2 linked regions of the Danio rerio genome follow. The protein of the gene in region 1 interacts with the protein of each later gene in a biochemical or structural test. Links are inferred from orthologs where the notes say so. Each region holds a gene or a part of one and is shown on either strand. Other genes may lie near its edges. The genes, in order: smurf2 and rnf11b.

What was found.
Region 2: the proteins of smurf2 (region 1) and rnf11b form a complex in vitro, tested with the Homo sapiens proteins (3 studies listed by BioGRID and IntAct, with this or other methods). The link is inferred for Danio rerio from reciprocal best matches to the Homo sapiens genes SMURF2 and RNF11.

The regions. Positions count from the first base shown.
Region 1 is NC_133178.1:24,110,602-24,115,052, reverse strand, and holds the start of smurf2 (E3 ubiquitin-protein ligase SMURF2), read left to right. Parts: upstream 1-1,564; 5' UTR 1,565-1,702; coding exon 1,703-1,754; intron 1,755-4,451. Other genes in the region: kpna2 (importin subunit alpha-1), read left to right, coding at 536-685, 912-1,001. UniProt on the Homo sapiens protein: E3 ubiquitin-protein ligase which accepts ubiquitin from an E2 ubiquitin-conjugating enzyme in the form of a thioester and then directly transfers the ubiquitin to targeted substrates.
Region 2 is NC_133183.1:18,241,397-18,245,900, reverse strand, and holds the start of rnf11b (RING finger protein 11b), read left to right. Parts: upstream 1-1,492; 5' UTR 1,493-1,920; coding exon 1,921-2,043; intron 2,044-4,504. UniProt on the Homo sapiens protein: Essential component of a ubiquitin-editing protein complex, comprising also TNFAIP3, ITCH and TAX1BP1, that ensures the transient nature of inflammatory signaling pathways. Promotes the association of TNFAIP3 to RIPK1 after TNF stimulation.

The sequences.
Region 1 (4,451 bases):
TTAAAATATTTTCTAAGTGATGTTTAACAGACAAGGGCATATTTTTTATTTTTTAAATGCATCCTACTGAGGAAAAAATATAAAGGGAAGTCTTGTTTCTTTTAGTTTGACTGGAATAACAAAAAATACAATTAAACTGTTAACTGGTGAGGTTGATGTAATTGGCCCGACTACTCTAAATCTCTGGATGCTAATCTTGCAAAATGACTAGTGATAATGATGTTTTGTTCTGATATTTAGTTACAATATTATTTGGTATAATCCCCTCTGACCCACACACAGTTATGACTCACTTTGGCTTCGTTATTTCAGATTGACTGAAAGAACTGATTAATCCAATTTTCTAGTCGCATAAATTAAGGAAACATCACAAACTTTCTGTCTGTGCATTTAAAGTTTTACTTAGTAAATGCATTTACTTTGTAGTCTGAGCACATTATTTTTATTCCAATAGTCCATTAATGCAAATAGGTAGATCTGGAACATGACATTATTTTGTTGTTCCTCTGTTAATATAACTTTGTTTTGTTTTTAGGCTGGAGAGAAGATTGGTGAGGTTGAAAAGCTGTGTTTGATGATTGAGGAGTGTGGTGGCCTGGACAAAATCGAAGCTTTGCAGTCTCATGAAAATGAAATGGTTTACAAGGCCTCCCTCAACTTAATTGAAAAATATTTCTCTGGAGAGGTGGGTTGATCAAATTTTGAATCTCTAGTTGCGCATTATGCATTCTTTTTTTGTGTGTGTAGAGTTTTATCAGTCTGCATATTAAAACTCTGAATTATTATACATTCCACAGACGGGATGGGGGGGGGGGGGGGGGGGTAATCTCAACTTTGAAGTTTAGTTTTATCTTTTGCTTTTAATTCTTTCAAGAACTGCTTTTCCTAAATCCCTGATTTCTGTCTTGCAGGAGGAAGAGGATGAATGTGTCGCACCTGAAGCTACAGATGATGGTTATGCATTCCAGATCAACGAAAACCAAAGCACTTTCAACTTCTAAATGTCTGACCTGTGAAATACTTTTGTATGATTGTTCCGATCATTTCTGCACGCCACTTATCTTGTTCATGTTTGTCTCTGTTTGGACCTCGTGCTCCAAGTTGTACATATGAATCTGTCAGTTTTAATTGTTGCAAATAAACCAACCGAAAAAGAACCAAAGTTGTTTTCTTCTATATTCAAGACATGGACTAAATAAAATATGAATAAACAATAAAGAGGAAAGACTGATGTTAACCGCCAAGTGAAATAAGTGTATATCCTACAGCACTATGAATATCAAGTAGGTCTGATGTCACAGTCTGGGCGGTTTAAGCGGCTCCACAGACACCTTGCAAACCACATTTCCTCAAATCGGTCGCCCATAAGCGATACAACTTTTCCCTCAAGGTCTTGGAATGGCAGTAGACGCCGAAAGCTGTTTGTTCGTGGAAAATATGTTAAACTTCGGGAGGTCTCTGTAAGCGGATCTTTTGAGGGGACGTCGTGGATTTACTTTCACAGACGGTAGAAATACGAGGAGCGCGTTAAAGCGTGTGTATGTATGCAGACATGGCAGGGCTGTGCACATCCGGGCCACAGGACCGTGACTCCATTATTTTCTGTTCACTGTGAAACTGGCGTTGAGGGGAACCAAAAAGCAACTCTGTAACACATTCGACCCGTTTTTTGTAGTAGTCAGCCTGGATAAGGGTCAAGGACATGTCTAATCAAGGAGTTAGAAGGAATGGACCCGTTAAGTTGCGTTTAACAGGTAAGGAATATGCGACATCGTACAGTTTCATCTGAAACTGGCTAGCTGGCTAACAGCTATTGCTGTAAGTCATTGTAGTTTTCTGCCTTTTACCGTGAACCTTCGCTTTGAAGAGCTCTGCGAGTGTGTTTATTTGTCAGATTATATGTTTTGGGTTATGGTGATAGTATGACTGAAACTGGCGTTTTGTTGCAGCGTTGCGTTCTTTAGCAGGTTGGACAACGTCATAATGGAGCCTCAATGGAGCGCGAACGCAACAATTACATTTCTTTAGCTTCAATTGTTTACATTCTTTTGGTTGCGTTGTGATTATCGTTTAAATACGCGCAGCTGCTGATGTGGACGATTGGCTTCGCGAAGAATACGGCTTATTGGCATGAATTGAATTCTTAAGCTTGCTTTATGTAGCCCGTTGCCCCAAATGCAAAATGTAAGAAATCACGTTGCTTCAGTCACTGCAATGCTAATCTGCGAGTGTTTATCTCAATTGTGTTTGAAAATGTTTGCACCAATTAGTACTGTAGACTACACTAAATACTACTAACTAGTGAGAATGGATATTACACGTTGCTTTATTAGATGGAAGAGTGCGGCAGAACATGCGTTAATATAGTATTTACCATAGAAAAGTTACACTGTTAAATGTTTATATATATATATATATATATATATATATATATATATATATATATATATATATATATATATATGCATCTGTATGTATATTTGTTACAACAACTTAGCAATAACTATTAATAACAGTCTACTGATTAATGCATGCGTTTAAAGCACGAGTTTGGTTTTTTCAAATTTCATAGTTAACATATTTTTCAGTTGTTTAGTATTATAATTATCCACATGCTTTTATTCGTAATGTTCTTGAACAGACTTTAGCTATTGTCTAAAAGTATTAAAAATAAATGTAAAAATTCTTACATATTCATTATCTGAAACAAAAAAATTACTTGTTTTATAAATTATACAAATCTTCACAATATAGGCAAACTACTACTCGTATACACTTTATCAGTGTGATTTGACTAACAGTAGAAAGACATACTATGATTTATGTTTATGTTAGCTATATATATTTTACAAATATTTCTTTTGTTCACCTGCATGCTAAGTTTAACATGATTTGAAATGCTATTTTATCTGACTTAAATGATTTTATTTTAGCTACACTGAATGGCTGTTACTTTAAAAGATGAGCAATTTATGCAAACATAAAGTAAGTTGTGTTTCCTGTGAGCGCTGCTGTTTCCTGTTAACCTCTCGGTTATGTTGGCCATTGTGCTTTAAGGACCCACCAATTGGCGACGAGACCCAACATTAAAGAACCAAAAAATGTAAATTGAATCAGTTCACGATTATCTAGCCGTCTGCATAAAAGTGTCTGTTCATGACCTCAGGGAATGCATTCCACAATGAAGTGGACTGTGCAGTGAAATCAACCTCCAAGTATGCAGCAGGATGTTGTAGTATTCATCATGACCCAGCACTGTGGTTGTGGGAGGAAGCTGCAGTCTGAGACACTTGAAGATTTGTCTGTGGGGCTCTTGAGATGTCTGGCTCGTGCATACAGAAAGAGCTCATTTTCCTCCCTGGTTGCTGTTGCACCCTTAAATGAGCTATTTTCACTTCGCCGTGGGTTGGAAAGAGGATAAAACTTTTACAATGACTGACCTGCTGTCATCTCTCAGCTTCTTACCAGTTTTCAGTGCTGCACTATATTGGAGATTAGCCTAGTTGCACTACAATGCAACCTTTTTTTCTAATTAAGACATCTTCTTTGGTTAAAACATTTAAATGCTAAAGCTCGTGTTTTAGTAGGATTATGACTTTAGAGTGGCTGATGCATATTTTTGAAGTATGTTAATGTGAATTTCATAAGCCATGCCAAACATTCTGATTTGCTTTGGAAAAGTTATTTTTAGTTTCTTACTTAAAAGTAAGAAATTAAGGTTGATCAGTGTAAATCATTGTAATACTGTTAGCACCAGACTTTGACTGATTTTTATTTACATTTAAATGTAAATGTACAATTTACATTTAGGATCATGGCGCTTAACAGGGTCTTAAGCGTTTTCAAAGAGCTTAGTTTTCGCAGGACAAAGATGCCAAATGTAACCACAACAAAACTTATGTGCAGGACACATGTGCAATCTGGCAGCCCGAAGTCCCAGGGCTATTGTTTTTTCAGTCGGGCTACCAAAATCTACACCGTGCATGGTTTAGATAGATTTTGGTTGTTTGTATTTCAAAGAAACCAAGTGAAACCACAACAAAAATCTGGTGGCGCAAAGTTCCAGGGCTATTGTTTTTTCAGTCTGGCTACCAAAATCTATCTAGATTATGCCCAGTGTAGATTTGGTAGCCCAAAGTCCTGGGGCTCTTGTTTTGTTGCTTTAAATTAAAAGATATCCTCACTAATGGGTGGGGCCTTCCCCCTCTGATGACATGTACAAAGGGAAGTTTTTATAAAGTGTGATTATAAAAAATAGAATTAATTAATTTTCACCTTTAGAAGCTAGCTATATTCCCACACTGTTGCCACAAAACTATTAAATCCCTTTTAAAAAGGATCTTTAAGTTCAACTTGGCAAGTTTATTACTACTCTTGAAACAAATTCAAAACAAACAATTCCAAACAAACCTTTGTCCTGTTAGTCATTATTTACTCAAAGTCCTGTTTAA
Region 2 (4,504 bases), on another chromosome or scaffold:
ATGATCTTTAAATACTATTGATTTTTAGTACTTTGTTGATGATGAATAAAAATTAATTATACATGTTTCCACAAACCTTAAATCCAGTAATAAAATAACATTTTTGTTGTAGTTTTAATTAGAGTAAAAACAAAGTCTCATCTTTCAAATGATTTTACTATTTTTGTCTTTTTTTTTTTTTGCCAAATATGTGAGAACATGCAAACTCAACACAGAAATGCCAACTGACTTTCTTTTTTGAGCTTTAAGGGGGCTTTTTTAAAGAGTTTACCCAGAAATTAGTTAAAGAGTTATAGTCTTGACAGTAATTAGTCGCTTTCAATTTGATAAAGTGTCAACTAAAAATAGTACCATTCAGAGTGAAATAAAATGTTATAAAACATCTATATCCACCAATTATTCTTATTCCTCTGAAGTTAAAACATTGGAATGGTATTGTCTAAATAAAATATATAAACACATACAGTTAAAGTCAGAATTTAGATTTTTTTTTCTTTTTTTAAATTTTTCTGAAATTATGTTTAACAGAGCAAGTAGATTTTAACAGTATGTCTGATAATATTTTTTCTTCTGGTAAAAATCTTATTTGTTTTATTTAGACTAGAATAAAAGCAGTTTTTAGTTTTTTAAAAACCATTTTAAGGTCATAATTACTGGCCCTTTTAAGCTATTTTTTTTTTTTGATAGTCTACAGAACAAACCATCGTTATACAATAACTTGCCTAATTAACCTATCCTGCCTAGTTAACCTAATTAACCTAGTTAAGCCTTTAAATGTCACTTTAATCTGAATACTAGTTTCTTGAAAAATATCTAGTAAAACATTATTTACGGTCATCATTATACTGTCATGTTATTAAAGATAAGTTATTAAAACTATCGTGTTTAGAAATGTTGAAAAAAACTCTGATAAACAGAAATTGGGGGAAAATATACATAAGGGGGCTAGTAATTCTGACATGGCATATCTGTAATTTTGAACGATTGTCATTGTATGCTCTGAATGACAACATGTTTATTTTACATTTAAGAAATTTCAGTAAAAATCACTGAAACAATCAGTAGCTAGCAGGAAAAAAAAACGGAAACTGAGAAATACGAATTCCCATATGGTATTTAAACAAGAAAAGCAATGAAGATATGAAAGACGACCCCTTTTTCTCCGGATTAACTTGGATGGATTTTTACCTCCGAATTGCACTTTAATCATCATGACATCGATTTGGTTATAATGTAGTAGTCACTCAGTTTAGTTATTCCTCCAATCTGTTCTTCAGGGGAAAGGGGAAAGTCGTGCGTTTTATTTTTCAAACTGACAATTTTACAATTGAAGTGAACTATGCCTTTAAATCGGCCTAATGCGGTCAAGTTTAAAGGCTTTAAACCCCTGTTGTTGGTGTTGTAAGTCTGCAATCTAATTGGGTGACGAGTATCCACTAATAGCGCCCTTACTACTGAAGACGCCTACTGATTGGTGGATTCTGTGCGGAGGCGGGACTTAGAATGACTGCCTGAAAGGCAACATTGCCTGAGTCGCCATTGAGAGCGAGCGCATATTTGATATTGTGGAAATTATCTCCTGGAAGGCTAACCAGTGTGTTTACTATTAAGACGAAGAGAAAGGGACAGCATTACATAAAGAGGCTTTAAATCAAAAAGACGTGTTTCACAGGTTTAGACTGTGTGAATTTATACAAACATCGTTTCATATCCGCGTATGACACTTTTTCCAGGCTTCTTTGTGTCGACAATGGTTTGTTTTTCTCCGTCAGGATCTCTCATGGTGATCGGATCGTTGTAAATGAATGATAGAGGGTTTTGTCGTCCTGTTTAAAGGGACAGAAGTCTGGTTGGAGTGATTAAGGGCGGAAGGGATAGGAAGGATTTCAACATTTAGACAACAAGGAGTTTGGAAAGGAGATGGGGAATTGTCTGAAATCTCCCACTTCGGATGATATCTCCTTGCTCCACGAATCCCAGTCAGACAGGGCCAGTTTCGGTGACGCCAACGATCCAGATCAGGAACCGCCACCTCCGTATCAGGTAAGCTTATAAAAACCATTAGAATACACAAAGAAACTTTGCTTTTGACTAATATAACGTGCCTTGTGTCCACCCTCCTGCTTCAATCATAACATGAACACTCGCAATTCATAATATCAAGCAAATAGACGTAAATATATCACCAACAGCAAGCTCCCGCAGGAGCTCCATCTGTTTAATTTCGCCCTAGAGTGTGTGCCATACTAAATCCTCTTTGTTCGACGTAAACTTGGCCTGCAGTTCACGTCAGACCATCCAGACAGATGGACAGTCTGTTATTTCATCTTTACTGCCGCCTCCGTGGCGTGTTGATTCACCAGCAGCAGCTTTATTGCGATAAAGGTAACCATTCTGGTTGTGACGATTCTTGTTTGCAGTTGTGACGTCATGTCGATGTTATTCTCCTTGCTCGAGTGTTACACAAACCTTTTAAAATATTCTGTTTTCTTCTCTTCACAGACTGTAAGGGCAAACTATATGTATTTAATTTAAATATTACTAATACTGATGTTGTACACATACACAATGTTACTACCTCACTATATATATATTTTTGCAAACTTCCGGGAAGAGAGCTTAAAAATGCTTATAATATGACAATGGGCTGCTCTACATTGTCCTTTAGTCAGAAGTGTTGGGAAGCCTTGCACTCGGGGATTTCCCCATTTTACGGACATGTGGAATCAGTTGAGGTCTAAGTCATGAGATCATGATATTTTAAAGTGATGTCATGCTTTACAAAACATAGTTCAAATGGAAGAACTGGGTTGGCCAGGGTCTTTTTGTTGGATGAAACAAACCATGTCGAAGCAGATAAACTTGTGTAGCACCGTAAGTGAACGTTTTATGTCCAGTCACTGTGTTTTGTAAGAAGCAACATGACTCAGAAGATGTCTGATCTGAAATGTTTGCAACTGTGGTGGCTGTTACATCCTCTTGTTGTGTTGACCTTATCTGTTTTACAAGAACTCTCCAACAAACTGATTGAGGTAAAATTGGTTTAATATTTAGACATTCAGACTTTCGCATTAATAATATAATTTCTGAAAATTAGTCTTTGCAAATCCTAAATAGTGAAATTATATTAGCAGCCAATGACTATTGAAGTACAACATTGTTCAGAGTCAAATAAGTAGTGATAATGTTGTTTAAAGTCATACTTGCGTGTGATTTCAGACCCAATGTTCAAAGTACCATAGTAAACATTATAAGAAGTGTGTCACAAGTAAGTTGTCACTGAAATAATGTGCAAATACAAAACCAACTTTACATTTATAACAAATAATAGTGAGCCGTTGACCGAAGCACAGATAATCTTGTATGCATCTTGAAAGCACACACAGTAATTTCCTCACAACTGATGTGACATAATATAATCTTATTAAGCAAAAGGAACATTCTCTTCAGTCTTAGTTTCAGTTTTTTTCAGCTGAAGGTGGGACGTTAAGTGCTGGACTACTTTCATTTATCAGTTGTGCTAACATTGTTGTCCAATTCATACATTCAAAACATGATTCAAAAATACACATATCCAATTTGTAAGTTTGAAACACGGTTCAGGCGAAGCAGTGGCGCAGAAGGGAGTGCTGTCGCCTCACAGCAAGAAGGTTGCTGGGTCGCTGGTTTGAGCCTCGGCTCCGTTTCTGTGTGGAGTTTGCATGTTCTCCCTGCGTTCGCGTGGGTTTCCTCCGGGTGCTCCGGTTTCCCCCACAGTCCAAAGACATGCGGTACAGGTGAATTGGGTAGTCTAAATTGTCCGTAGTGTATGAGTGTGTGTGTGTGAATGTGTGTGTGGATGTTTCCCAGAGATGGGTTGTGGCTGGAAGGGTATCCGAGGCGTAAAAACTTGCTGGATAAGTTGGCGATTCATTCTGCTGTGCGACCCCAGATTAATAAAGGGACTAAGCCGACAAGAAAGAAATGAAACACGGTTTAAAAATACACAATATATGAATTCCAAATATGATTTAAAAATACACTAATCCAACTCATACATTTGCAACATGATGTAAAAATACACAAATCCAATTCGTAAGTTAGAAACTTAGTTTAAGAATACACAATTCATACATTCGAAACATGATTCAAAAACACATGTCCAATTTGTAAGTTTGAAACACGGTTCAAAAATACACAATATATGAATTCCAAATACGATTTAAAAACACACAAATCCAATTTGTAAATTCAAAACATGATTTAAAAATACACTAATCCAATTCATACATTTGAAACACGATTAAAAAATACACAAATCCAATTCGTAAATTCAAAAGACAATTAAAAAATACACAAATCCAATTTGTAAAAAATACACAAATCTATATAGAAAATTTGAAACAAGATTAAAAAATACACAAATTCAATTCATACATTCAAAACACCATTCAGAAATGCAAAAATCCAATTCATAAGTTTAAAACATCATTCAAAAATACACATCCAATTTGTAAATGCGAAG